Linked DNA regions of Tamandua tetradactyla. The protein of the gene in region 1 interacts with the protein of each later gene in a pairwise test. Links are inferred from orthologs where the notes say so. Each region holds a gene or a part of one and is shown in the gene's direction. Other genes may lie near its edges.

Region 1 (7,410 bases):
TACAGCAGAGATGGGGTGCATAAACAGAAGTGGCAGCAGTGCCTAGTGGAAGTGGGGAAGGCTGGGAGACTTTTTTTTGTAAATACATGAGGTTGCTCTAGGAAATTCTCATTGGTAACCCAAGGAGGCTCTATAGGTCACTAGGATCCTGCAGCTGATGACAAAGCAGTGAAACTGAGTTTCTACTGTCACTGTGATCCCACTCTAAACCCCAGACAGGTGTGCCCTGGAGAAATATGATTTCATTCAGGGTGATGTCCTTGAGTCATTAAGGAAAGATACAGCTATGTTCACTGCATGTGTTAAAGAAGACAGAAAATTTACTTTATGTTAACAATTTCAATATTTTTTAAAGTTGAGACAAAAACATAACCCTATGTGTGGTAGATCATGTAGATGGCTGCAATAATAACTCTCGTACCACATGCTCTTTTATGAGTGAGCTCACCACTGTCTAATCAAGAGGTGAAGTCTATTTCCCCTCTCTTTGAGTTTGTGCTGGCCCTGCTACTACTTTAGCCAACAGAATGCGGTGGGATGGATATCCTGGGTCTTCTAAGCTTTTAGCACTCCGAGGTAAGGCAACCACCATGTCAGAAGTCAGACTAACCTGAGACTGCCATGCTATGAGATAAACCAAGCTAGACTCATGGAGAAACAATAAAGAGAAAGAGATGCCCAGTCAGCCCCTTGCTGTTCCAGCCATCTCATCTGAGGCACCTGACATACGACAAAAGAAATCATCTAGGACATTTGAGCCTCAAAATATACCACATGAAGCAGAGATGAACCATCCCCACTGATTGTTATATAACTGTGAACAAATAAATGATTATTGCTATTCTAAGTTAGGTTTGGGGAGCTATGGAATAGAAAACTGAAACTCTGCTTCAAGGAAAACCCATATGCTTTAGTTTGTAAACTGCTGGAATGCAATATACCATAAACAGAATGGTTTTTAAAATTAGTGGGGAAAATTCTGGACCTGTAAATTGGGTCCCTCCTCCTTTCATTGGGCAGTGCATGGCCTTCACTACCACTTCTTAGTTTGTATAAAAATATAAATTCAATGGTTCATTTTTAAAAATAATCAGTTTATGCAATGGTCAAGCAATCTTTGTATAGAAACTTGTATCTTTCCTCTTGCTAGAACTAATTTTGATAATTATATTAGGTTGGACAGATTGTTTTCATTATTTTATTGAGGTATGATTTTCATACAGTACAGTTTTGACAAACACATATATCACTGCAATCAAGATACTAGAACTGTTCCATAACACACCCAGCCCCCCCAAATTCCTCATTGTGCTTTATAACCAACCACACCCCCACCCACAACTTCCAGTCACCACTAATCTGTTTTCTGAACCATAGTTTCGCTTTTTACGAATGTCATACAAATGGAATCTTACTTCTTTTGTTAGTCTAATGCATTTGAGATTGATCGATTGTGTTACCGGTATCATTTTATTCCTTTTTATTGCGGAATAGTGTTCCATCGTATGGCTAGAACACATTTTATTTATCAGTTCATTACGGGAGGGAGTTTGTTTTTGAATAAAAACAGGTAAGTCATAGTACACATAAACATTTGTGCACAGGTTTTTACGTGAACCTGTTTTTATTTCACACAAATAAATACCTAAGAGTGGAATTACTAGGCTGAATAATAAGTGTATGTTTAATTTGTAACGTTTATACAAAAGAGCCGATTGCTTTTTGAAATGAGAACCACCAAGACCAGAGGTCACATCCATTCTTGATCACAAATGAGGGGTGACCCCTGGTGAGCAGAGATGGGATGAGAAAATCAGGCCCTCAAACCAGTCTAACTTTTCATCTAGTTCTGTAAAATCAATACACTCTTCCTCCAGCCTCACATCCTCACATCTCAGAAGAAGCAGGACAACTTTAGTACCTTTACTGTGCTGTGAGGCCCTCCCATGATTTATTTTTCTCAATCTGTGAGGTAGAATGGCTCATCAGAGATCTGGCAATGCCTTTCTAGATATAGCAGTAGCATGGGGACCCTCACCAATTACTTTGCCTATTAACTATTTCTTTTCCTTCCATCCTGAAAGAAAATGGAGCATTTGAGATAACAGCAATAAAACTACTGCCATGGTTTAGGGGTGCTTCTTTACCTGGTCATCCCTGAGTCTAATCAAAAATAATAATCGGGGGCTAGGGAGAAGTACCTAGCCCTTCCTACAGTGTCACACTGCTTTCGTTTTGTGTCTAAACCATGCACTATGCAAAGAGGACTTTTATTTTTAACTGTTGATTGATTTATAAATGCTATTAGTGCAGAACAATGTCACGGATAATCCCCCCAAAATAATAATAATAGAAAACAGTTCCATTTGGTTTTGAAATACGGTAAATTGTAAACAGTTTATTTCTCTTCTTAAGTTTTCCATAGATTAATATAATACTAGGTTTGCTTTTCCTAAACTCATGGGACGATGGCATGGATATACATATTAGGGACACATTTAGCATGGAGAAACTAGAGTCTGAAAACTAATTCATACACAAGTCAAGATTTAATGTATTATTCCTTCAAGGGACTTGAAGGAAAGCCTGAAAGGAACTAGGGGGATGATGAGCGTTAATCAAACAGAAGTACTTATCAAGATTTAGAAGGAAGCTGTAGCAAAAAGGGTATTTTCTTCCTGCAAACTGCCTTTGGTCAAGAGTCAAAGGAAGTCTGACTGGAGAAGGGGCATACCACAGAAGAATAGGGGAGAAGTGGATTCGTTGAAGTAAAGTGAATTTCCAACTTCATATAAAAATGTATTTTTCCACCAATAGAGCTGCTTACTCAGAAAATGCAGCCTTGCTGTGGCTCGGTGGTCCCCATCATCGGCTGGGTTTAAGTAAGACATATAGTGATCATTTGCACACTTTCTTGCGCAAATCTTTATTAAAAGCTTACTCTGCACATGATTCCGTATGGATCATGAACAGGAATCAGAACTGAGCCTGTTCTGCCGGTTTTGATATTTTTAATGTGCCTACACATACCAGGGAGATGTTAGAATGCAGACTCTGAATCTGTAGGTCTGGGATGGGGCCTGATTCTGTATTTTAATCCGATTCCAGGCGACACTAATGATGTCTGTGGATCACCAGTGAGCGGCAAAGGGTTCTAGTAGGAAATGAGACATGCATATAATTATAATTACAATACAAAGCAGTAATTAGTCACCAGCACAGAAGCTCCATTAATTATCAACAAAAAGCTAAGACGGTCTTTGCCCTTCTATGCAACCACTGTTTCTTCTGTTTTCATTAATGCTGTTTCTTCACTACTGTTCCTTCTGAGGCTGCTGTTGCACTCGCCTTAGCCTACAACAGCCTTCCCCCTCCTCTCCTTGGACTAGCATTTTACTTGTTTTTCAAGGTCTACTCCCCTACCACTCCTTGAAGCCTTCCCCGGGGCCGCAGTCGGTTAACTGCCCTTTCCACTTGTCGCTCCAGACACCACCCAGCGTAAACCTGGGGCCGTAACAACGCTTCCTTCTGCCGGGACGCGGAGGCCCGCTTTCTCATTCCCCGCCCGAACCCGACTTCCCAGCGGTCGCTCATCAGCAAGACACCGCCCAGAAAACGCTCCGGAGACCGGCAGCAGGCAGGCCCGACGCTCGCGGCATGGCGGGCGTCCCTCAGCGCCGCCGTCTCCTCGGCGCCCCCGGGCCCTGCCCCCACCGGCGGGCGGCTCTGCCGAGCGGCCCATCATCCAGCGGCGGCGGCTAGAGAGGCAGCGGGACCCGGCGCCGCGAGAGGCGGCCTCGGGGAAGGGCGAGGCGGGTCCTGCACGGCGGGCCTCGCAGCCACTTCAGGAGGAAACCCGGGTCCTCGCCCTGGGCGGTCTCATCTGCACAGCAGCCATCGCACCAGCGGCCCTGGAGGAGGGAGAGCATCGCGGAAGGTGATGGCGAGCGGGGGCGCCCGGGGGCAGGGAGCACGGGCTGGCGGGGGCGCCCGAAGGCGGCTCCGGAGGAGGAGGGGCCTGTGAGGGGTCGGGACGCCCGAAGGCGGCTCCGGAGGAGGAGGGGCCTGTGAGGGGTCGGGACGCCCCAAGGCGGCTCCCGAGGGGGAGGGGTGAGGGGAGGGGGAGGAGGAGGAGGGGCCTGTGAGGGGTCGGGACGCCCGAAGGCGGCTCCCGAGGGGGAGGGGGGAGGGGAGGGGGAGGAGGAGGAGGGGCCTGTGAGGGGTCAGGACGCCCCAAGGCGGCTCCCGAGGGGGAGGGGCCTGTGAGGGGTCGGGACGCCCCAAGGCGGCTCCCGAGGAGGAGGAGGGGGAGGAGGAGGGGCCTGTGAGGGGTCGGGACGCCCCAAGGCGGCTCCCGAGGGGGAGGGGGGAGGGGGAGGAGGAGCCTGTGAGGGGTCGCGGCGCCCGAAGGCGGCTCCCGAGGAGGAGGAGGAGGAGCCTGTGAGGGGTCGGCGGTTTCCGGCGCCTGTGGAAGCGCGTCCTGGCCCGGCCTCGGCCGGCCTTCCTCTGCGGGGTTCCCCTCGGGCTCTCGGCGCAGGCCCGGCCGAGCCGTCTCCATCCTAGGTGGGCCCCGCGCGGCGGCCATGGGAAACACCGCCAGCGAGCGGCTGTCCGGGGAGCGCCACGGCGCCAAGGCTGCTCGCGGCGAGGGCGCGGGCGGCCAGGCCCCGGGCAAGGAGCACCGGATCCTGGTGGGGAGCACGGACGACCCCAACGTCTTCAGCCTGCCCGACCCCAAGGTGAGCGCCCCGGCCTGCGCCGCTGCGGTGCGCCTGGTTTCGGGGCGCCTCTTCCTTCTCACTGGTCTGGGTTGAGGGTTTTTTTAATTAGACAGATTTTCTGGCTGGCCTCTAGCGAGGCAGCCTCAAAAATAGCATAAAGAGGTGGAGTTATTTTCCTGGTTTTCTGACCAATCTGTGGCCGCCTTTTAGGACGGGACTAACAGACCCCCCAGACCCCTCGTTCTTCTGGCGGGCCTGGGGGCTCTTCTGGAGGACTGCTGAGCTGGACATGGTTGCGGAGCTGCTGCGCACAGGCGGCAGTTCTCTGCCCCCGAGCTGGGGAATGGAGCTCAGCGCCTCTCCCTCCGCCGCTCTGGCCGGGCTCTCAGCCGGAACCGTGCTCGTGGAACCTTTATCCTGTTGGAGACCAGTGAAGGCCGGCCACACTGGTGACTGTCCACTCTCCACCCTGCGCCTTCGAGTGGGGTGCCGAGGCAGTGCTGCTGCCGCGTCCAGGCCCGCGTGTTCGCGCGTCTCGGCTTCCCCGCAGTACCTCGGCGTGGCCACGGCTCAAAGAGACCCACAGCTTCCCTGGAAGGTGGTGACTGCCCCGTGCTTGTTACCATCCTGATGCCTCCGTCCGTTTTGGAGTGGTTAGCATTGACTGTCGGTCCTGCACCCCGCTGGCCGCCTCGGGGGGGGGGGGGGGGGATGGTGACACGGGAGGGGGGGAGGTGGCGGGTGTTCGGTGACTCGTCCTGCCCGCCCGCTGCCCCCGAGCCGGGCTGCCGAGAGTGGAGGCCGTGTCTCCAGCCACACTGGTGGCCTCTGAAATTGGGAGTCCGTGGTGCTGGTATTTTCTTGGATCCTGATTAAGAAAATAATCACAGAGAGAAACGCATTTCTGGGGGGTTCTTTACCCCTCCTTTTCTCCCTGCCCCACATCAGGACTACTAAATCCTTTAGGCTGTCTACACAGCCATTAGATTATACTCAAGGTGACGGGCCTCATTGTATTTTTAACCTTTTCTTACGCTGAAGACTCGGGATTTAAGTTTTTTTTAAAACTATGTGGCCTTAATTAAAGCCACGCTTGCTGTCTTTGAATTAGGGTCAGTTTTGGATCTTTCTTTCTCTCACCGCAAACTTGCTATTTGTGAAGTAATGGAATTATTTTAAGTAATTCCTAAGGTCTCTTCCAAATAAAATTCTGAAATTCTGAATCTGTCTTCTTCATTTCTTGCCTCAACGTTTTTTTTACTTAAACGCTTTCAAACTCGAGACTAGTTGTTTTGCTTCTGGGAAGTTTTGCTGACTAACTTGGGAGTAAACAGTCTTTCTGTTGTCGGCTGTCCTCGTGCCTCCCTCAGAGATGCCGTGTCTTACGGGAAAGGGCCTTTCTCCAAAGCTAGGCATATTAATAGTTTATGCCTTCATATTTTAAATGTAAAATCCAAAGGCATAAAAGTAACTGATAGAAAGGGTGATAGTGAGAGTCACTAAGGCATTGTCAGCCTTCCTTAGTTCGGTAGTTCCTAATTCTCTTTGTACCTTTACATAAGCCAATACCTTATATAATTGGAAGTTTTCTTCAGTTCTCTCTCCATTTACTTTGGATTGTGTTTCAGAGTGTAATTTTGAGGAATATCAAGAGACAGTAGAGAAGGTAAGCTACTGCAACCATTTTGGAAGGAAAGCCCAAATGAATAAGTCATCCTTTTTTTGTTTTGTGTTCCAGTAAAGTTTTATTTGTGGACACAAATGGATTCCATATCATCCTTTATTTTTAACTAACATTATTTTTTGTGGTAATTTTTTTTCCTTTTCTATGAAAAGTAATATATATACAAAAAAGCAATAAATTTCAAAGCACAGCACTATAATTAGTTGTGGAACACAGTTCAGAGTTTGATATGGTTACAGTTCCACAATTTTAGGTTTTTACTTCTAGCTGCCCTGAGATACTGGAGACTAAAAGAAACATGAATTTAATGATTCAGCACTCATACTCATTTGTTGGACCTACCTTCACTGTATAACTCCACCATCACATTTGATCTCTCTCCTACTCTTTAAGGGTATTTGGGTTATGCTCATTCTAACTTTTTCATGTTGGAAAGGTCTGCCACTAATATGGGATAGGGAGATGAAACTATCTGATGTTCTGGAGAGGCTGGGCCCTCTAGGTTTCAGGACTTATCTGGTCCAGGGACCCATCTGAAGGTTGTAGGTTTCTGGAAAGTTGCTCTAGTGCATGGAACCCTTGTAGAATCTTACATACTGCCCTAGGTGTTCTTTAGGATCAGCAAGAATGTTTTGGTTGGGGGTTGGCAAGTTATGATAGGTAGTAATGCCTGACTGAAGCTTGCCAAGAGTGACCTCCAGACTAACCTCTAAACTCTATTTGAACTCTCTCAGCCACTGATACTTCATTACACTTCTTTTCCCCCTTTGGTCAGGATGGCATTGTCGATCCGACAGTGTCATGGCCAGACTCATCCCTGGGAGTCATCTCCCATGCCTCCAGGGAGACGTTCACCTCTGGAAATCATGTCCCACGTATTTACCTATTTACTAAAGCTATTTAATCCAGTCTAAAGAGGGGATTGGCAAATTTTTTCTGTAAAAGTCCAGATAATATTTCAGACTTTGCAGCCATATAGTCGCTGTATAACTACTCAGTTCTGTG
Region 2 (7,348 bases), on another chromosome or scaffold:
AAAGTATCTGTAAGCTTCTATATGCAAGAAGTCTATAGCATCATTTATTATTTCAAACGAGATCATCAGAACACAAAGTTGAACTACCAGGAAAAAAATGCATCCACTTATAAAAATGAATATGAGGAAGGTTTAATTCCTTATACCAGGAAGTTTACAGCAATAAATATGTATTAAGACTGATAGCCTAATGATCATTGTATGGAAACAAAATAAATGATTAAATCTACTCTGATCATCTTCCTTAAGGTTATATGATAAATCTCCTGAGATGATTTTTTTCAAAACTCATGATAATCTTTTCATTTGTTTAAATTTTGTATTTATACCTTCTCCCATTTTACAAAATTTATAGCATGACATACTGGTATAATTAAGAGGTACTGTCAGCAGTATCTTAAAACCTTATACACAAAGCAAATCTTAAAATCTCTGTAATCTTGAAGAATAGTTTATGGAAGTCAGTAAGTATGAAATAGAAAATATTCCAGTATATCAACAGAACACTGACAGTGTGATTCAGGTAAGTGTCTACCACCATTCATCATAAAAAAATTGTACTGAACATATTTCAAAGGACAGAAAAAAACTTACTATTTGACAAAGGCACTTGTGTTCATTGACCAATTTTTCTAGAGACAGACATTCAATCACATCAGCTTCTCCTAAAGCCCCTTCCTTGTCTTGCTTATTTGCCAATCTAGAAAGACAAGTGAAGTAGGTTTTATGACATAGATAATCAGATGCCACTTAAAAATATTTTGATAATATTCTTCCATTCAAAGTTTTAACCTTACTGATTACACTGGTTTTAGAAGATATTTTAGTAGTTATTTCATGATTTCCATTTGTTTATTATTGTGAAAATGAATTTTGTAAGAACAAGACTATAAAGGAAAATTATCAAGAAAATGTTAGTACTGAATAGGGAAACAAAAACAACTACAAAGAGAAAAATACAGTGAATTATTTTCCACAGCCCCCAGTCTAACAATTCCAACTTTCATATTGCATCTTTATCATCTTAAAATACACTGCATCATGTTGTAAGTGTCCAAATCTTTCATATGTTCATTCTGAGTTTGTAATATCTGAGCTCATCTACATTTCCAACATGTGTGTATATGTGCAAATAAATGTGCAATTTACTGGACAAGGGAGACATTTATATCTAATTTACATGTCATTTATAGCATTGGACATAAAAAATATGACACTCAATTAGGAACAAATTAGGAAACAACAAAATTTAAAATCCAAATAAGCTTCTAAGAGAAATAAGAATTACAATAAAATAAAGTGAATTTGCCTATTACATGGCAAAGGTAAAAAAGTTTAATGAATTACAGCATTGGTTAGGATTTAACAGACTCTAAGAAAGGATAGAGCTTTTAAAAATGCATAAAATAAGTCTAACAGACTCCTATCATCAACTTCAAAAACTATCAACATTGAGTTATTCTTGTTCATCTACACATCTTCCACTTTTTTCCAATTGGGTGACATATCTTTTCACCTGAAAACTAAAAAATTAAAATATATATGTATATATATATATTATCACAATATTGCTATCACAACTAACAAAATTAATAATACATTCTTAATATTACTCAATTCATTCATATTCCCCAGTATCTTTTTACAAGTAATAATCTTTAAATCAGGTCCAAACCAGATGAAGAAACTGCAGTTTATCTCTCAAGTCTTTTTTAATAGCTACCTCCCACCACCACCACCTCTTTTCTTCTATGACATTTATTTGTAGAAAATAAGTCATTTTCCTACGGAATTTCTCACATTTGAGATTCTGCTGATATCTTCCTCATGAGGGATTTACATACATAGCCTGCATTTCCTACACCTCATAGATGTAGAGGTTGGATGAGTTCCAGGTTGAATTCTTATGGCAAGTATATTTCATACGTGATGCTAACATTTTAGGAAGTATATATCAGGTTGCTTCACTTTTAGTGACATTAATATTGCTGAGTGGGTTCAGTCAGACTGATCCATCCAAAATAAAGTTCCCTATCAACCTTTCACCTAATGATTTTAGCAGCTATTGTTTGCCTTTGCTTAGTTCCATTATTCTACTAGAGTTTATAAAACAGTGACTTTTAAAGTTTAGTTCTATATGCCTTCTGCATTTATGAGCAGGATTTTTGCTAAAAAACAAACAAAAACCCTTTCATCAACTACTTGGTAACCATTAAATAAAATTCATAGAGAAAAGTTAAGGGTTTGAAACTTCCCTTCAGTTCCTAATTGAGAAAATGAATTTGTCTTCAGGCAATCTCCAAAGGTGATTAAGTTATTTCGTTTTTCTTTTGCTTTCTCCAAGGGCATCATTATAACTCATGGACATTAAAATATATTTGGTACGTTTCAAGCAATAGCAGTTGCTGTTCTTTTTGAGACTCCATGTTTCTCATCTTTTGACAGTGGCAGTCTCTTTCAGATGAGCTCCTGTGTCCTTTTGGTCCAATTCCAATAAATAACTTCTCTGCTTTTTTGTAAAAACAATTTCCCAGACCAGGAATTATCCATTTTTTTAAGAGGCCCTAGTTCCTTTCAGCGGTAAATGGCATTTTACAAGCCACAATAGGTGGACTATAAATATTCAGTTATTGACAATATTGTTATTTCTAGACCCTTTCAGTGGACAAAGCTAGAAAATATGTAGGTTTTTGTAAAAATAAATAAATACATCATGAGCTCATATTGATTGTTCTATTTCAAATCCAATATTACCAAGTTTTTGTTTAGCTTCTTAGATTTTATTTATATCTCTTCTTCTTTTATGTTGGAAACTATGGTTTGCAATGACATAACTATTTGCTTTATCTACAATATATTTAAGTAAGAGTTTCAATATAATAATAGCAATATTGTTACTGAAAGTAAGACTACTAAATGCACGTTGAGATCTTTGAAGTTATTTTTGTCTCTAGGATATATTTCACTAAAGATACAGTCAAAATACTGAGTTTAAAAATTACTTGAAATAATATTTCTCTGGGTGGTTATGCCACCAGCTGTGTTCAATTGTTTCAGGCTGCTTTCTTCAGAAACACTTTCTTTTTAAATAAAGATTTAATTTTTAAAACATTTATATGGCTCCAAATTGAAAACTATAAAAACAAGGTGCTTTTGGAGAGAATATTCTTCCATCTTTGTCCCTTTCCCCCCCTCTATTTTCCTCTATTCTCCTAAAGGTAACCATTTTCATTAGTTTATGGTTTATCTTTTCATTATTTACTTTTGAAACTATAAATAACTATACGGAGGAAACGATATTTTAAAGATCACAATATGGACACTAAGTATATCTACTGCTATTGACTTGTCATTCTTCCTCAAAAGCTAGATACTATATACTCTTCTGCACTATAACATTTTTTTAAGTAAACATTAACTCCTGAAATTGTTCTATAGCAGTATAAAGAAATCATCTTGATTACTTTTTATAGTTGCATAATGATATACCATTGGATATTCAATTGTATGGATATACCATTGTTTATTCAACCAGCAGTATACTGAATGACTTTTGGGTTGTTTCCAGTCTTTGGTTTTTACAAAAAGTGCTGTGAAGAATAGGTGCATGAGAAGTCACTTCTTATTTTGGAAACAGATTCCAAGAAGTGAAACGACTAAGTAAAAGAACAAATGCAAACATTTTTTAGGTATATATTATAGCAATATTTGTATTCCCTCCCTCCCCTACCAAAATCATAACAACTCAGAAATAAAAAAAGGAAGGTAAGGAATTTTATAGAATAAGAGAAGTTTCATTTGTTTTTTCCTATAAATATTTATCCTCTGGCAAATATAAATTTTGAATTGTTAGATTATTATAGTAAAGAAATTGTTTAACATATATTGTTGCATAACTTCAGTTCCTCTATACAGAAAACTATGGAAGAAAGTCACTTGAAATTAAAATAGCAGATACAGTAAAATGAAAAGTGAGGTGAAAGGCTTTAAGCTACAAACTCTTTTTTTGACTGTTCTAGTTATGAAATTTTATGATTTTATGAGCTAAGCTCTATGAGACTTCCTAAAATAGAACGGAATTCAATCATTTTCATGTTAATAAAAAAAAAGGCCTACACATCAAGATTCTTTTCATTCCTATTTATTCCAAATTCTACATCTTTGCAAGTTTTGATACCTAAAGAAAATAAAAAAGTAACCTTGTTTAAACACAAAGTCATTTTTTGTGAGGAATGTTTTTCTATATAATGTATAACTACGATTACAGAGTTGTGCCAAGTACTCCATGTAGGCAGTTTAACAAGGACTTCCTGTTACCGACTAGCTCCAATGAAAATGATCTTTAAGCTAAAGAATGGGCGTCTAACAGGCAGAACCGGATTCTCCAAGTGTGAAGTAAGCAATTTATCCTTATACAGTATTAACAGCAAAAGAACTTTATCTCCAACTTATTTGACCTCATTATTTGGTTTTCAGTAAAACTAACTGTATGAAATCATACAGAAATTAGCCTGTGAACTATAGGATGGAGATTTAAATAATTCGATCAAACCATTACATGAGATAATACTCAGATTTTCTCTCCAAAGCAGGACTCCAACATCGCACGTGGAAAATCAACAAAAGGAACAAGACAGAAAGGTAAATAAATCTTTTTTGCACTTTTAAATATCAGACACCCATAGACTGAAATCTGATTATACTGTGACATTTAAAAACAGCTCAAAAGATCATGAAAGTTACTTCTTTTGCTCAGATTTGGACCAGGCTATAGGCAGCTGATTTGTTCCTATATGCTACTGATTTACAGAAAGGGATTTGGGTACTGGATTTACAGCCCTTAGAAATATATCACTATAAACAAAAATCAACTTCAGAGGAAAGGACTTTTTTTTTTAAAGTCTTTTACCAAACAACTTCTCACTTTGGAAACACTAGAAAGCCAGGTCATATAAAAACAAACAAATTCTTTTATAAACAGACTGTAAATTAAACATACTGTGCTTGCCTGAAAGAACACCTTTACATTTAACCCTCAAAAGTTTATGCTTAACCTTTATAGTTAAGCTAATTTTCTACAAGGTCTTAATTTCCTCAATGTGGTTTCCCAGAATTTTTAAAATTAATTTGAAGAATTTAGAAAATAATCTTAATTGTAAAAAGACCACTGTAAAATATCACAGTACCCAGTTACTTTTTATTGTTTGTTAGCGTATTGAAAGTACTCAAATTATACAATATAAATATTATATTTGATTTGATAATTTGAAAAATTTAATATATTTAGATAGGTCTGATATTTTCAAAATTAAACAATATTTAGACACTTAGTCTGAGCCTATTTTATTATTTGACATTTGTTTAAAGTTATCATATAATTATCACCAGGTTAGGATTCAATAAGCAACATATTTGAAATTAAAATAATAGTGACTGAATAAGTGCTTTAAAGTTGGACTTGAAAGTTAGTCATTTAATACTTAGGATTAATAACATTTTACCTTCATGGCTACACAGTTCTAAATTTAACACAGAGGCCATTCTGTGTATATACAGTTTACTTGAATGAGATAAGTGGGAGTTCAAAATTAAACAAGAGTTTATTATTTAAGCAAAAATAAACTTACCATTTTACAATTATTTATAGTAAATAAATAGCATTTAAAGATGTTACAAAAAAGTCAGATAATTTAAATTATCAGAGAAAGAAGATTTGCAATTTACAATAATTTTGTTAGTCTGTTTATAGAAACCACTCTTCTGCCCTCATTTAAGTGACCAGAGAGTAATATTCCAGTATTTTCAGCTTCTTTCACCTTGAACTAGGGAAATTTGCAAGTTATCTTCATACACAAAAGCAAAAGAGTATTTGATGTTGGATAAAAACTAGTTATATTTCTTGAACTATGCTACTAAATAGAATAGCTCTAGAAAGGAATGTATTACTTAAAATATATATATATATATATACACATATTTTGTATAAATAGATATATATACATTTCTCTTAAAGCCCTCTGTAATTTTTATTCCTGTTCCTGTCCTTGGAAATGTTTCCTATCTATAATAGGGTGGGGAAAGTTTTATTTGAGTCACACCGTTTTTTTTCCTATCTCTCAGAACAAATTGTCAAAATTTATTACCATATGTATAAATTAGTGTTCTAATTTCCTGTTTTCAAACAGCATATTTAAGCTCAAAGATATATTAAGTTATTGCTAGGAGAATTCTATATAGCAATGCAGTAAGATAAACATGCTGAAAGACGATTCATATTTGGTTAGAACACTTCCAACATTAAGAAAATAAATTTAAGGTACAGAAAAGATTGTGTAAAATGATGGTCTACTCAATTTTATCTAACCTAGGCAATTAAATTATTTCACAACTATAAGATTAGTATTTTTCTATCTTTATGAACTCTGTCTCTTCTAATCTTAAATTCTAATAAGTTTAATGTCTCATTTTATCTAATTTCAATTTGTGAAGACATAAGATAAGGCAATAAAATTGGAAATAGTTATACATGAAATGATAAGCATGCAACTACCAGAAAATACAATTTATATACAGCATGCAGATGCATCTAAGTACCTAGTCAGTCAATTTCAGCACAGAAAAATTATCTTAATTCTATAATGATAATAAACTATGACTTTTAGTTCAAATGTACAGATACAAAAATTCTTTCCTCCTGCTCCAAACACACAGAAATTTTTGATACAATCTTAACCTTAAGGAAAAAAAAAAAGACAAAATTTAAAATACTCATTAAATTTGAAAGTAAGAGAGAAAAATTTCCAGGTGCCAAAAATGAAGAAGGAATATACTCATAATAGTCGAAGCGCATAATAGAAATTGAAGTTAACTCCATGGGCCTACTGAAAGCAAATATTACACCTTAGAAGCTGGGGTTAGTTTGTGCCTAAACAGGAAACTAAAATTGGATTTCCTAGATGTAGTCCTGTACTAGGAAAAATAGAGCATATTCTTCATACACAGAGAGGAAATTCTCAGTTGGCTTAAACAAGATTCTCAGTTAGCTTACTCAGGATTTTATAACCTATACTACCCCTCCAGACTATAAAAAATTGCTAGAGAAAAATCAAGCCCATATTTATATCACTCAGGCTACAGTGGGTAAACTCCAAGGGGCCCAAGTTATGATAACCACAAAAATAGACTCAGAATATTTCCCAACAAGAGGAACAGCAAACACAACAAACAACGGAATTTATATTTATACCTGAGAAACCAGAAATAGCTGAAAAATGTGAAGGATCTCTAGCATAAATATATTTAAATGTTCAAAAAAAATACATAAAGACATAGGCTCCATAAACCAAGA
Region 3 (7,928 bases), on another chromosome or scaffold:
TTCAAGCCATTTTATTACTGAGATGTAGGGTAGAAACCTTATCTATTCAATAAGGTCTTTGCAAGGGATGTTTTGCTAATACTTTCTGGAAAACTGTACCTTGCAGTTCTTTAAGTTAATGGAGTCCTTGGGAGAGTAAACTTTTTTTATTTTGATGAAGTCTGATTTATCAATCTTCTTTTATATGATCACTGCTTTCCGTGTCCTAAGAAACGGATGCCTATCCCCCAGTCAAGAAATATTTCTCTGCTTTTTTGTCTAGATTTATGGTTTTGCCTTGATGATCCACCTCAGACTAATTTGGGGGTATGGTGTGAGGGAAGGATCGAGGTGTATTTTTTTTATGTGTGATAACCAGCTGTTTCAGCATTGTTTATCGAAAATATTTTCCTTTCTCTGATACACTGGCCTCTGTCAAAAATCAATTAACCTTAAATTTTTGGTCAAGTTCTGAACTGCCTGGTCTTTCTCAATGATACATTTGCCTATCTTTATGTAATACCAGCTATCTTGATTATTGTAGCTTTATAATAACAAGGTTTGAAGTGTGATAGTATAAGTTCTTGATATTTTTAAGGTTTTTATTGACCGATCTAGACCATCTGCCTATCCATACAGTTTTAGAATCAGCTTGTCAATTTCTACAAAAAAAAAAAAATCCTGTTGGAATTTTGATTTGGGTTTTGCAGTGAATCTAAAGATTAAGTTTGAGAAACCATATTGGGTCTTCCGACCCATGAGCGTGCTATATTTCACCATTGAGTTGGGTCTTCTTTAATTTCTCTCAGCAATGTTTTTCAATTTTCAGGCCAGTCGTGTGAAAGGAGCGATGACAGGGCTTGCGGATGGATTGGCTGTAGGGTTGAGGAAAAGTCCCCGGGGGAAGACTAATGCTCAGGTTTCCGCTTTGGTCCCTGGGTACAGATGAGAAGGAAGGAAAGAGCTCCTCTTGTCCCGGATGTGAGGTGAGCCTGGTGACCCCAGGACCTTGCGCTCGACCATCCGAAACCTACCTTCCACCCTGGGTTGGACCCCCGGGCCACCCTTCCTTCCTCTGCTCTGCGGGCCAGAAGGCCCGGGATTCTCGCACCAGCAGGGTCCTGACAGGGCCACGGAGGGTCAGAAAGCCCCTCCCTCCCTCCCATCCTGGCTTCCCCAGCTGATGAGACTTGCCCTGATTCCCCAGCCAGGCTGCTGGGCGTGACCCCTCCTAGCAGGCTGCCCTGGGGTGGGGCGGGCTGGGAAGAGAAAGGGTCTCCTAGAGTCAGACACAATGCCCCTGTCACAAAGAGGGATGACCGCACGTGCGTGTGCAAGCGCGTGTGCATGTGGGGAAGGAGAGCAGACTCATAGGGGGGCCCGGGGCTCAGGGAGATCATAACATCCAGAGAGTCAGACTTGAGGAGAGAAGCACAGGGGGAAGACAGCCCAAGAAGACAGATGGGGGAAATCAGAAGTACAGAGCAAGGGAGGCGCCAAGGCAGGGAGAAAGACAAGACGTGAAGGGAAATTAACAGGGGAAGAAAGAAAGAGGCAGAGAAAGATGCGGGGAAAGAAAGATTGAAACGGGAAGATTGGAGGTTGAGAGGGGTAGGGGAGTTAGATAAAGGACAGACGGTGAGGCTAAGCTGGGGATGGGGCAGATGGAGAAATACAGCAAAATGAGGGACAAAGAGAAAGACGGGTGCAGGGAGATACAGGCTGAGCGAGAGAGACAGAAAGGGGGTGGCATGGGACAGAGAGAGATGGACCGAGACCCAAAGAGAGGTAGAGAATCACAGAGGGAGGGAGAGAGACAGGAGGTGAGAAGAGTGCACACAGGGAGATGGACCGACATGCCTGATGGACAGAAGAGAGACTGAGGCACAGAGACGCAAAGCCAATGGGCAGGGAAGACAGAGAGAGAGAGGGAGAGAAGGAGAGAGGAGAGAGAAGAGCAAAGAGGAAATGGAGAGAGTTGAAGTTAATAATTCACAACATAGAGCCGAAGAGACAAAGAAGAGTGAAAGAGACCAAGGCAGAGAAAGAGAAAAACAGGAAACTGAGGCAGAAAGCTGAAACAGCAAGGCAGTGCAGAAATGAATTTGTTGGCAGGCAGACTGCTGGAGCAAAAGGGGGACTCAGCAGAGGGGTCCAGAAAGTCCCTGTGCCCCTCGTTTTATCAAGTGATCTCCCAGGAGCACCCAACATTTCCCCTCCGTCCTCTTTGATGCATCCCTCATCCCCCTCCTTGGGACAATGGCCAAAGCTAGAGAGCCACCAGTTAGACCTAAGGAAGAACTTCCCTGAGGGGTGGGGGTGGGGGGGTTCCGGCCAGAGGCAAGAGCTGGGGCTGTCCTTCCCCGTCAGCCCTAATTGCCAAGATGTCTTGGAGGGGGATGGGAGAGGATTAAGCAGAGGGGTGCCCCTCCCCCTCCCGGCAATGTCACCTCCCGGTGCCCAGGCGCTCCCCCACCCTGGCCAGGATTACCCTCCGAGAACCAGGCCACGGCAAGTGACATCACTCCCAGTCGGGGCTTAAAACCTCTCCGTGGGAGGGGTCCCGTTTCCTTCGGTCTCTGTTCCCTGAGGACTGGTCCAGGACCTGGGCCGTCGGGAGAGTCCCCGATCCCTCCTTCCAAAAGGTGAGTGCGTGCAAGGCAGGCAGTGGGGCCAAAGGAAGGAGACGGGGATGGGGGAGGGGGTGTCTGCCTTCTTTGTGCCTGTGTCCCCAGCGCCCGGCGTGGGGTCTGACATAAAGGGGGTCTTCAATGTGGGCTGACTGAGCCCACCTGCAGCAGGGGCATCATCCCGGTGTTGGGAGAAACGGGGCTGGGCTGGGACTGCAGCAGGAGGGAGTAAGGGTAGACTATGGGGGAACTGCCACCAGGTAGAGAGGATTGGGGGGTGGTGCTTGCTGGTGAGGTGCTAAGGTGACGCTCCATCGGTTTTCAGGGACCAGGGCTCCTCGGCTCTGCTCACAGGCAACTCCGAAGCCTGCCTCCCTTTCTTTTAAGACTCATATCACTGCTTGGAATTCATACTCACTTGTGAGTTTATCCACAAATTATCTGTGTCCCTCACCGAACCCAGATTTCCTCCAAGGACCTGGGCATGTGGTCGGCCGCCTCTGTAATGGCTGAATAGACAGACGGGTGAATAAGCAAAATAGAATCCAAGAAATGCGTATGCAGGGGTCATTGAGATTTTGCGGCTGCAGCAAGAGGGAGTGAGGGTAGACTCTGAGCCAGTCCTGGGAGCTCAGGGGCCAGGAGGGCCACAGGCTCGGGGAGGGGCCGGGTCAGCCACTGACCTGCGTGACAGCCCCAGGGCCCTCCTTTTCCCAGCCTTGGTTTCCTCCTTGGTGACAACAGGACCCACCCCATAGGGGGCTTTCACTGGATTGCTGTCTCCTCCCCAAGGCCTGGTGCAGGCGGGAATCCCTGGAGGTCCTTATCGTTAACAGCCTCCTGACCTTGGCAGGCACCTTCCTGCCCCAGGGCTCAGTTTCTCCACCTACAGGAGGGGTTTATCTCCAGCTTTCACACTTAGCCTGCAGATCAAGCGCTCAGGGGAAACTCGGGACCCCTGGGACACGCGATACCTGGAGCTCTGAGAAGCAGTCTCAGGCCTCAAGGGCTGCTCCCCAGGGCAGGGGTCGCCCCTCGCTCCACCCTTTGGGACAATGAAATGTTGTCTTGGAATACAACCGAGACTGAAGGATAGTAAAACCTAGCCACTCGGGGTGCTGTCAGGCTCGTTGCAAATTCCTGGTGGAAGGGGGTGGCCTTGCTGAGATCTTGGACACAAAGCCTTTGGCTGGGGATCTGAGAAGCTCCAAACTCCTGGAGCTCCTTCTGTCACCGGCTGCCTCACCTCTTTGCAAAACCCACAACAAGAGTGTTAATGGGTGTTAGACATTATTTTTTGTTGCTAGTCTTTGCTGACATCTTGTCCACCCACCAGTTCCTGGATATCTGGTGAGTGTGTAAACCCTCAATTCCTGGAGGTCATTGCCATTAGCATTGCTGGACCTTGGGCAGGCGCCTTCTTCCTTCAGAGCCTCAGATTCCCTACTGGTGGAATGGGCTCATCCCAACGTCCTGGAAGGACAACTGCATAGCTGAGTAACCTGTGCAGATTCAACGATGGGGACAAGGGAAGTTGGTGCTTTTTCCCAGAGCCTGTTAGGACAAGTCCACCAGTTCCCCTCTCCACAAGTTCAGATCAAGCACTATTGCTCCTTGGAAGAGTGGACGAGGGCAGAAGGGTCCCCAGCTGGGAGAGCAGGAATCCCAGGTCCCCAAGATTCCTTTAGGAAACTGGGCAAGTCATTTTGCCAGATCCAGGAGTCTTTTCTCATCTGTAACATCTGGGGTGATGGGACGTTTTGGTGATGGATGGTGTCAACAGTCACACAACATTGTGAATGAAATTAATACACTGGATTGAATACTTGAAAGTGGTTAAAATGAGACATTGTATGTTGTATATGTGTTACCACAATAGTAATAATAATAAACAACCACTACAGAACTGTACAACATTAGCATGAACCCTAGTGTAAACTATGTACTTTAGTTAATAATTGAAATATAATAATATTGGTTTGTCGGTTGTAATGGTGAAATCTGTGTGTGTGTAGTATACGGGAATTCTGAACCCTCTGCATGATTTTTTCCATCAACCTACAACTGCTCTAAAAACTAAATAATCTTTAAAAGGTGGGCAAAATAATAACACAGTTCCTACCTCCTAGGGTTGTGCTGAGCATTTAATGGCATGCTGCAAAGGGGACGCTTGTGTATTACTTACCTATTGCTGTGTCACAAACTCCCCCAAAACTCAGTGGCTGAAAACATTAAACATTTATTACCTCATAGTGTTAATGGGGGTCAGGAATCCAGGGGTGGCTTAACCAGATGGTTCTGGCTCACAAGGGGGGCAGGCAGATGTGTACCAGGCTGCAGTCCTTCGAAGGCTTGATGAAGGCTGGGGGAGTCTCTTCCAAGGTGGCCTCTTGCGTGGCTGCTGGCAGGAGTTTCCCTGCACAGAGACCTCTGCAGGGTTGCTTGAGCATCCTTACAACATGGCGGCTGATTTTCCCAGCGATCCAGGAAAAGACAGCAAGGCAGATGTCACCAGGTCTTCTAGCCTCAGAAGTTAGAGGCTGTAATATTTCTATAAGATTTCTGTCATGTCCTGTTGGCTACGCAGGTCAGCTCTGCCATGGAGGCCAGTACTCAGGGTATGACGGTCAGGAGAGAATGGTCAGGCACCATCTTGGAGGTTGGCTACCAGGGCTGGATGTGTGGGATTCCGTGCTGTCATCGTCCTTATCTGCACAGAACTTCGTATGCCCGTCCCTCCTGGCCCTGCTGATTCGACTCCGCTTCCCACTTGCTTACTCTGCTCCTGTCATGTTGGACACCTTGTTTGTCCTCCAAGAAGCCTCCTGATCTTTTGCACCTGCTGTTCCTTCTGCCAAGATCTTCCCAGGGTGGGCGTGTGGGCTGTCACATCTCAGCTCCGGTGTCACCTCCCCGGAGAGACCACCCCCCCCTCAAATGGGGCTCCACTCCCACCAGATCTGGTCACCGTCCTGCCTCCCACACCCGGCATTTCCCTCGGCATTCTAAAAACCATCTGAAAACATCTTGATTTTCAAAAAATCTATCTCTTTGTTCATCGTCAGTTTCTCTGACTGCAACCCGTAAGTTCAATTGTGTGAGAACAGAAATGACGTGTGTTTTATTTCTCATGATATTCCCAGTTCCTAAAACAGGCGGACCCTCAGCGGTACTTAACACAATGAACAGGAGAAACTTAATTTCTAGTAAGTAGGACCTCTCCCTACTCCTGTGAAGGATAAGATGGAAGAGAGGGGGTCGTGGGTGCTAAAATAAATGCCATCCATTTTTTATTCATTTGTTTATTTTTCAAATATTTATTGGGGATGCTTGAACTAAAAGTTATGTCTAGTCCCTGCTGGTAGAATCGGGGGACAGACAGACAAACAAACATGTATGTCCTATTTAATATAGGGTATGTCCTGAATGACAGGAGAGAGAGAAAAAAATGTGCCGGCGTGTATGTGACGCCCAATGTAGAGGGTGAGAGATGGTGTCTGAGTGAGAGGGACCTGGTAGAGGAAGGGGGCTTATCTCAACCTTTCTGATGTGGGGAGCGGCTGAGGCCAATACCCAGAAAGGCTGACAGGTTTCCTGGGTCCATCTTGAGGGTTTGATGTTTGTCCCCAGGGCCATAGGGAGCTTGGAAAGTTTTCAAGTTGTGGTTGTGTTTTGAGATCTCCTTGTTGGTTTTGCATCTGCAAAGGTGACACACAGGCACACAGGGCTAAAAAGTAATCCAAACTGTAAAAATGGGGAGTGGATACAGCACACCTCTCCAGAGGCAATCAGTTCTGCCAATGTCTTGTTTCTTTCCTGGATTTTGTTCTATGCATATACAAGCATATATCATATGACACTTTTATACACATACAACAATCTTTAGACCATATATATATATATATAGTGTATGTATGTGCATATATATATATATATATCCACTGCCTTGTTTTTAAATTCACAAAAAGTAGCATATGCTACACACTGCTCAGTACCATACTTTTTATTTGAATATATGTCATGTATATATGTATATAAAATGTGTATTATATGTATTATATGTTATGTATTTTATATGTTATGTATAATTTGATTATACATAACATCTATTACACACACCTCTTATAAAGGTGTAATTCTGAAAAAGCTAAAAACTTGACTCTCAAATACCTATATAATAAACACAGGTCAGGGATTTATTTAGCTCACTAAGAAGGGAACCTGCTGTTTCAAATGAGAATTCAAGGAACAGAGGTTCATACAGTTATTCAAGAAAAGGCATGTAGAAAAAAAATTTGCCAGGTTCAACACAAAATTTGTTAAAGTTCTACAGGACAACCAATAAAACTGCAATCTTTGAGGTTATCTTTTTACCGGATAGAAATCATTTGCAACCAGAACTTCTAGAAGTTATCATCTACCTGACACTGTCTACCCCAATCAATAATAAATTCAACATTTCCCTAGAAAATGAAATAATCCTAGAGATCTTTGAAAATCAGTTCATGGAGAACAGCCTTACTCTTTTTCATGACTTCATAATATTCCCCTTGTGTGGATGTGCCATTATTTTCTTAATAATTTTCTCTTTTGCAAGTCTTAGAGGTTTCTGGCACTCTTAGGAAATCATAAATATCCTGGGTTTAAAATGCTTGTATAAAGGACCTGCTTGCAAACAACAACAAAAATAATTGCCTTACTAAGCATTGGGTGCTATTTTAAGCACCTTAATCGTGTTAATTCCCTTTAATCTTCACAACCACCTAAAGAGGTAAATGCTGTTTTCATCCCATTTTACAACAAGGAAACTGAGGTACGCCCTGAAGGCAAGTTACTGGGGCCAAGGAAATGTGGCGATTTACGCAATCCACACTGCGACCACCTGACACAGGGAGCACGCTTCTTCCCAAGGAGGCAATGCTAAGAGTTAGCGACCTCATATCTCAGCCAGCCTGGCAGCTCGCTGGCTTTCAATCACCCATCCCTGCTTACCGGACTGGCACAGCTTTAGCACTGAAAGCCCACCTGTGTCCCAGGACAACTGGTCAACCTCCGCCCTCTGTATCTGAAGCCGAACGTCTTTTCCTGTGGTCATAAGGAAGAAAAGATCTCAAAAAAGGGGAATGGTGGATCAGATTTTCATAAGGATAAAATAGTGATACAGGCTTCCATTTATGCTGCTTCTCTTAATTTCCAGGGTTGCTGTAACAGAGTACCACAGCCTAGATGGCTTAAATAATAAGGAATCTATTGTGTCCTGGCTCTGGAAGCTACAAGTCCAAAATCAAGGACCAGGCTTCCTCTTAAAGGGGAGAACCC
Region 4 (7,288 bases), on another chromosome or scaffold:
TCCCAACAACTTATTTTTCAGAAATAGAAAAACCAATAAGCAAATTTATCTGGAAGGGCAGGGTGCCCCGAATTGCTAAAAACATCTTAAGGAAAAAAAACGAAGCTGGAGGTCTTGCACTGCCTGACTTTAAGGCATATTATGAAGCCACAGTGGTCAAAACAGCATGGTATTGGCATAAAGATAGATATATCGACCAATGGAATCGAATAGAGTGCTCAGATATAGACCCTCTCATCTATGGACATTTGATCTTTGATAAGGCAGTCAAGCCAACTCACCTGGGACAGAACAGTCTCTTCAATAAATGGTGCCTAGAGAACTGGATATCCATATGCAAAAGAATGAAAGAAGACCCATATCTCACACCCTACACAAAAGTTAACTCAAAATGGATCAAAGATCTAAACATTAGGTCTAAGACCATAGAACAGTTAGAGGAAAATGTAGGGAGATATCTTATGAATCTTACAATTGGAGGCGGTTTTATGGACCTTACACCTAAAGCAAGAGCACTGAAGAAGGAAATAAATAAATGGGAGCTCCTCAAAATTAAACACTTTTGTGCATCAAAGAACTTCATCAAGAAAGTAGAAAGACAGCCTACACAATGGGAATCAATATTTGGAAACGACATATCAGATAAAGGTCTAGTATCCAGAATTTATACTGAGATTGTTCAACTCAAAACAAAAAGATAGCCAACCCAATTACAAAATGGGAAAAAGACTTGAATAGACACTTCTCAGAGGAGGAAATACAAATGGCCAAAAGACACATGAAGAGATGCTCAGTGTCCCTGGCCATTAGAGAAATGCAAATCAAAACCACAATGAGATATCATCTCACACCCACCAGAATGGCCATTATCAACAAAACAGAAAATGACAAGTGCTGGAGAGGATGCGGTGAAAGAGGCACACTTATCCACTGTTGGTGGGAATGTCAAATGGTGCAACCACTGTGAAATGCAGTTTGGCGGTTCCTCAAAAAGCTGAATATAGAACTGCCATACGACCCAGCAATACCATTGCTGGGAATCTACTCAAAGGAATTAAGGGCAAAAACTCAAACAGACATTTGCACACCAATGTTTATAGCAGCGTTATTTACAATTGCAAAGAGATGGAAACAGCCAAAATGTCCATCAACAGACGAGTGGCTAAACAAACTGTGGTATATACATACGATGGAATATTATGCAGCTTTAAGGCAGGATAAACTTATGAAGCATGTAATAACATGGATGGACCTAGAGAACATTATGCTGAGTGAATCTAGCCAAAAACTAAAAGAAAAATACTGTATGGTCCCAATGATGTGAATCGACACTCAAGAATAAACTTGGAAGATGTCATTGGTAACAGAGTTCAGCAGGAGTTAGAAACAGGGGAAGATAATGGGTAATTGGAGCTGATGGAATACAGACTGTGCAATAGGACTAGATACAAAAACTCAAAAATGGACAGCACAATAATACCTAATTGTAAAGTATTCATGTTAAAATACTGAATGAAGCTGCATCCGAGCTATAGGTTTTTGTTTTGTTTTGTTTTGTTCTTATTATTATTACTTTTATTTTTTTCTCTATATTAACATTCTATATCTTTTTCTGTTATATTGCTAGTTCTTCTAAACCGATGCAAATGTACTAAGAAACGATGATCATGCATCTATGTGATGATGTTAAGAATTACTGATTGCATATGTAGAATGGTATGATTTCTTAAAAAAAAAAATGGTCAGCACAATACTGCCTAATTGTAATGTAATTATGTTGGAACGCTGAATGAAGCTGCATCTGAGCTATAGTTTTTTTTTTGTTTCTTTTTTCTCTTATATATTTTTGTACTTTTTATTTTTATTTGTGTTTTCTCTCTGTGTTAGCACTTTATTTCTTTTTCTGTTGTCGTGCTATTTCTTTCTCTAAATCGATGCATATGTACTGAGAAATGATGACCATACACCTATGTGATGATATTAAGAATTACTGATTGCATATGTAGAATGGATTGATTTCTAATGTTGTGTTAGTTAATTTTTTAATTAATAAAAAATAAAATAAATAAAATAAAATAAAAGAATAACCTCCAGTATAAACTCTCAACTCTACTTGAAATCTCTCAGCCATGGACACTTTATTTTGTCTCATTTCTCTATTCCTCCTTTTGGCCAAGAAGCCTTTCTCAATCCCTTGATGCTGGGTCCCTGCTTATCCCAGGATTTCTGTCCCACATAGCCAGGGAGATTTACACCCCTGGGAGTCATGTCCCACACAGGGGGAAGGACAGTGATTTCCCCTGCCAAGCTGGCTTAGAGACAGGGGCCACATCTAAGCAAGAAAAGAGGTTCTCTAGGGGTGACACTTAGGCCTAATTTTAAGTAGGCTTAGCCTATCCTTTGCAGAATATGTTTCCTAAGGGCAAACCCCAAGATCGAAGGCTGGACCTATTGGTTTGCCTGTCCCCACTGCTTGTGAGAATATCAGAAATTCTCCAAATGGGGAAGGTGAATATTTCCTCTTTTCTCCCCAGTCCCCTAAGGGGACTTTGCAAATACTTTTTTATTCACTGCCCCAAATACTCTGGGATATATTGGGGCACCACATTAACCTGAACAAACCAAGAAAATGTCATGCTCTATTCAAGATTTCATGTACTTATTGTGTCCAACTAAACTTACCATACAAGTTAAATTAGGAAATGCACTACCCAAAATAAAAATTTTGCACCCAATAACGTTTTCTCTCTTTAGTCTTAGACAGAAATTGAAGTTATAAAATATGGATGATATCATCCTTTCCCCTGCATTTTGATATACCTTAATCCTATCCAAATCAGTTTCATTCATATCTCTATTCGAAGTCTGATCCCTTTTTCAACTTTATAAACAGTTCCTGCATGGGGTGGTGCTGACTTTCATAGCTTCAGAGCTCTAACTCTGAGTCTCATGAATACACGCTTTTTTTGCTTAAAATCCTTCTTTGGCTTCTTGTTTTCCTGATAGTTAAGTCCAAACTCCATAACATGGTAAACAAGATTCATGCCTCTATGGCCTCTTTTCATATCTGCAGCCATGCTGGTCACCATTGTTCTTTTTACAGTGTGCTTTATCTCCGCTGCCATTCCCCTTTCATTTATTCAATATTCGACCATTCTTTATTGTGCACTCTGTAGGAGATAAAGTCTCTTTTGGGCGTCCAAAATTCATGAGTCAATAGACATAGTTCCTGCATTGTCTCCTCTTTATTAAGTTTTATTGTCACATTGCAGTCCTGGTATTTATTTGTTTCTCTCCCCCATTGGGTGTAGAGTCTTGGAATCCAGGAATGTGTTATTCTTCTTTGTACAGGCAGTAACAGTCACAGAACCTTGCACTGAGTAGATGCTCAAAACCTGTTGGTTGAATGAGAAAATGTGAGCGAAATTTTTGAAAGGAATTATACAAATATCAGCAAAAACAAGAATCTTGTGCTGTCCCTGACTTTGCCCTGAATACATTATGATCACTTATTCATACCAAACTGTGAGCTCCTAGTAGAATGCCTTTAGGTACTGTATGGTGTTGGAGATATGGTAGGCGGTTAGTATACACTTGTGGACTAATGAAAAATGACCACACAAAAATGGAGAATTGGTGTGCAAATTTGGGGCTTGGGAGAGCTTTCTGTAGGTAGTGGCAATAAATAATTCTGTAAGTCTTTGAAACAGAATAAGGGTTATTCTTATTACTCAAATATTTTTGTCAGTTGTCATTTTCTTCCTCTTTTTGCAGAGTAATCAGGATGAATGCTTTCTAAACAAGTTTACCATTACTCATTTGGAAATTTATATACATCATGTAAGACAAAAATGATTCAAATTTAAGCTTACAAAATCTTGAAATCAAAGTATATCTCTAATAAAAATGAACTTTTATTCCAAATAGTATGCCATGAAACAAAAGAGTATAAGTATCTAACTGTAGACATAGGAGAAAAAGATAATGAGTCCTGGATTAAGGGCGTAAGGGGGAAAGGAGATATATCTAAGGCAGAATCAACAAGGTGAGGTGACATTGCATATTCGGGGTTAGGCAGAGATAAAGAATTTCTGGGTTTCTTGGATAACTAGGGAAGGGTTTTTAAAATGTTACTGATTCTCTGGTCAATTCGGTTTACATAACTATCCAAGGTTCTGATCTGGTGAGAAAGCCTATGAGCTAAAGCATATATTGCAGAACTTGCTACGAGAGACACAGGAAGTTGCTTGGAATGAAGGAGGCGGGGAAGAGGCTGCAGAAGGTAAAGCTTCCGCCAAACAAAAAGAGTGCTTCCGGTCACGCTGTCGTCGCCGCTTTCTTCGTTAAGGTGAGTGTAAAGAAGGGGACTGATAAATCTCACAAATGAAACCCAGTAGACCCTTGGAAGCTTCCTTCCTTGCCTCCACGTGGTGTGGAAATAAGCGGAATTCATTTTCCAGAATACACTGAGTGAAGAAAGCTTGTGGCGCCTCCGGTTATGATCGCCGCGCTGCTCCCTTCCCCCACCCGCCCCAGTCGCGCTTCAGGAATGGCAGGCTCTCATCCCCCCTCCTGACTGCGGTGCGCCTTTTATTCTTGTGATCCCCGTTCGTGTTCTTTCACCTCTCTTCTTATCCCGGATCCTCTTCTGGATCTTTCTGATCCTGAGTCATTCCCTCTCCCACAGATCTCTTTCCTACCTCCCACCGCCATCTTCCACGCCACCCCCTTTCTGCCTCAGACCTTTTGCAACCCCTGTCCCCTACTCTGAGCGTCATTCTTCCTTCGGACCTCAGTGTTTTACTCCCTCTGCTGGCTCCTTATCTTTCTTCTCTTCCTCTTGCCGAGGTCAGCGAATAACATATTTTCCATAATCAAGCTTGACCTCTTCAGAGTCAAGGCTGTTTTTTTAGTTCTTTAAAAAAAATAAGCAAGGAAGCAGAAATATCAGCGTCCTAAGAGACATAAAGAATTGTTCAAATTATTATGTCCTTTTATTTTTTTACTCTAAACATTATTACACAACAATTGTTGCCTTCTGCTCGTGGCATTTTTATCACATGATGGCATAAAATTGAATCCCCCAATTTTTTTTGTGTGGGCAAATACAGAGGATTTTGCGTGTCACAGTTTGGAGGTGGAAGTTTTCCCATCTCCTTTAGTACTTCTCTTAGAGAAGTGGCTGACAGGAATGACATCTAATCATAAATATATTCCCTCATGTAAGTTGGGTTTATTAAGCAAATCCTTTTCTGGTCTCTGGTAGCAATATTGAATAGCAAGTTGGCAGATTTTTTAGACAAAGATTTCCCCCAGGAGTTTGCAAGTGTTATTTGTTTGCAATGTGATTTATTTGTTGCGATGTGAACTTTATCTTTTTCTAAAAAATTTGCTGTAATGTGAAATGTGTCTTTCTGTTCCGTTTGTCATCATGTGAAATTTATCTTGTGAGAATGTTAATAATTACAATTTTTTGTTTCAATTCTTTACCCAAGAGTGGGGAACGGATCGTTAAATTTATCTTCATAAAGAATTTTCAGCTTTGAAGAGATATTTAACCAAAGATCTTGAAAACCAAGTTACTCCTTCCTCTTCTTCCTGCTGTAATTAGTGGGTGTTATGCTTGCCAAAATAAGTTGTGATTCTCTTTTCTAGTCTAGATCTAATTTTCAGTTTTTAGAATATACGAGGCAGAGATTTCATGGAACCAAAACTCTTAGAAACTTTTTCAAAGGATAATGTTGTTGGCCTATCTTTATTCTCTATTCAGATCTTTATTACTTAGCGTTTAGATGTCACCATACTGGTTTTAACCCATTTTGCAACCATCCATTTAGTCATGCAATAATTTTTTTATTGAATACTTTTATGAGCCAGTATTCGAAGCTCTGAGAATACAGCAGTGAAAAACATAAACAAAGTCTTTTAAGTAAATTTATATGTAATAAATATATGATAGATTATGATGGGAGTGGGTTGTACTGTTTATGTAGGATGGTCAGGAAGACTTCCCTGGTAAGGTGACATTTCAACAGAGACCTGAAGAAAGTGAGGGCACAAATTATTCAGATATTACTGGGAAACAGAATATATCTGTGTCAGGGGCTCTGCTTTTGTTTTTCACTCTGCCTTCTACATTTCTCCCTCTCCCACACCCTATCATAGAGCCCTTCTGCAGAGTCATAGTGGAACCTTCTTTATACTTGAATAACTGGATCCGTCCTCATAATTTTCCCATATTCCTTTTTTTTTATTGGCCACCAGCATGTCTCCATCTGCACCTCATTCCCATTCTCTTTGTGATGCATTGTGTGTGATCCTATAGCACATTTGCTTACTCTCCTACTGATTTTTATCACTCCATGTTCATAAAATATTGCCCATAAATGTTTGACATGGTAATTGAAAGGAATTCAGTGTCTGTTCTCCCGATGCTTTTAAATATAGTTTTTCCCTTAATATTCAAAGTCATCCTCTAAGTTCAGTATCATTGTCTTTTAACTAATGATAAAAATAAGACTCAGAGGGGTATGGTAACTTGATAAATGGTGGCAAAAGAATTCATCTAGTTAGGGTCTGTCAGACTCTCAGTCCTGGGCAAATTCTCTCTCCCTCTCTCTCCCTCTCTCTGTTTATTGTTGAGCAATAGGAAATATGCAGAATATTTTATTTTATTATTCTATGAAACACAGTCAGTCTGGGTATAGGCGTTTCATTTTTTATATTAGTTTCTTTTCACAAGTCAGAATATATCAGGTGCTCACAGTACTCCTTACTTACAGATATTAAGTGCTGAGAGACATGATGAGTATTTTTAGCTCAGTATTTTTTTTTCAAGGAGAGAAAGAGTTTATTGCTAGGCATGTAGTAGGAGAGCAGATGGCCTAGCAGCCCAAAATCTGTCTCTAGGTTAATATTTTTTATTGAAAATTTCAGTCAAGCAGAAGTTGAAAGAAGGGTACAGTGGACACTGTTATACTCTAACCCAGATTCAACAATTTTAAACTTGCTATATTAGCTTCCTCTATCTGTCATCTTCCTGTCTTCACCTGTCCATCCATCCATCCATCCAATTATCCAACCATCTATTTTTTATTTATCTGGTTTAGTGAACCACTTGAAAATTGTAGGTGTTATTTTTAAGTAAACTTAAAGTTCATAGAGAAAGATGCACATATCATAAGTGTACACCTCAAAACATTTTCACAAAGAGAACACAACTGTGTAACCACTATGAAGATCAACAATTTGTATCTGGAAAGCCCTTCTTGTACCCCCTACCAGTTAC

The links.
Region 2: the proteins of PRKAB2 (region 1) and STX19 interact in binary tests that used the Homo sapiens proteins (3 or more experiments, as listed by UniProt). The link is inferred for Tamandua tetradactyla from reciprocal best matches to the Homo sapiens genes PRKAB2 and STX19.
Region 3: the proteins of PRKAB2 (region 1) and CRX interact in binary tests that used the Homo sapiens proteins (3 or more experiments, as listed by UniProt). The link is inferred for Tamandua tetradactyla from reciprocal best matches to the Homo sapiens genes PRKAB2 and CRX.
Region 4: the proteins of PRKAB2 (region 1) and MAGED1 interact in binary tests that used the Homo sapiens proteins (3 or more experiments, as listed by UniProt). The link is inferred for Tamandua tetradactyla from reciprocal best matches to the Homo sapiens genes PRKAB2 and MAGED1.

Annotation. Positions count from the first base shown.
Region 1 is NC_135330.1:96,051-103,460, reverse strand, and holds the start of PRKAB2 (5'-AMP-activated protein kinase subunit beta-2), read left to right. Parts: upstream 1-4,405; 5' UTR 4,406-4,583; coding exon 4,584-4,739; intron 4,740-7,410. UniProt on the Homo sapiens protein: Non-catalytic subunit of AMP-activated protein kinase (AMPK), an energy sensor protein kinase that plays a key role in regulating cellular energy metabolism.
Region 2 is NC_135336.1:56,226,736-56,234,083, forward strand, and holds the start of STX19 (syntaxin-19), read left to right. Parts: upstream 1-4,327; 5' UTR 4,328-4,395; intron 4,396-4,403; exon of another isoform or gene 4,404-4,592; 5' UTR 4,593-4,641; intron 4,642-7,348. Other genes in the region: ARL13B (ADP-ribosylation factor-like protein 13B), read right to left, coding at 595-700. UniProt on the Homo sapiens protein: Plays a role in endosomal trafficking of the epidermal growth factor receptor (EGFR).
Region 3 is NC_135342.1:13,270,834-13,278,761, forward strand, and holds the start of CRX (cone-rod homeobox protein), read left to right. Parts: upstream 1-4,924; 5' UTR 4,925-5,068; coding exon 5,069-5,124; intron 5,125-7,928. UniProt on the Homo sapiens protein: Transcription factor that binds and transactivates the sequence 5'-TAATC[CA]-3' which is found upstream of several photoreceptor-specific genes, including the opsin genes.
Region 4 is NC_135353.1:118,152,746-118,160,033, reverse strand, and holds the start of MAGED1 (melanoma-associated antigen D1), read left to right. Parts: upstream 1-4,270; 5' UTR 4,271-4,348; intron 4,349-7,288. UniProt on the Homo sapiens protein: Involved in the apoptotic response after nerve growth factor (NGF) binding in neuronal cells. Inhibits cell cycle progression, and facilitates NGFR-mediated apoptosis. May act as a regulator of the function of DLX family members.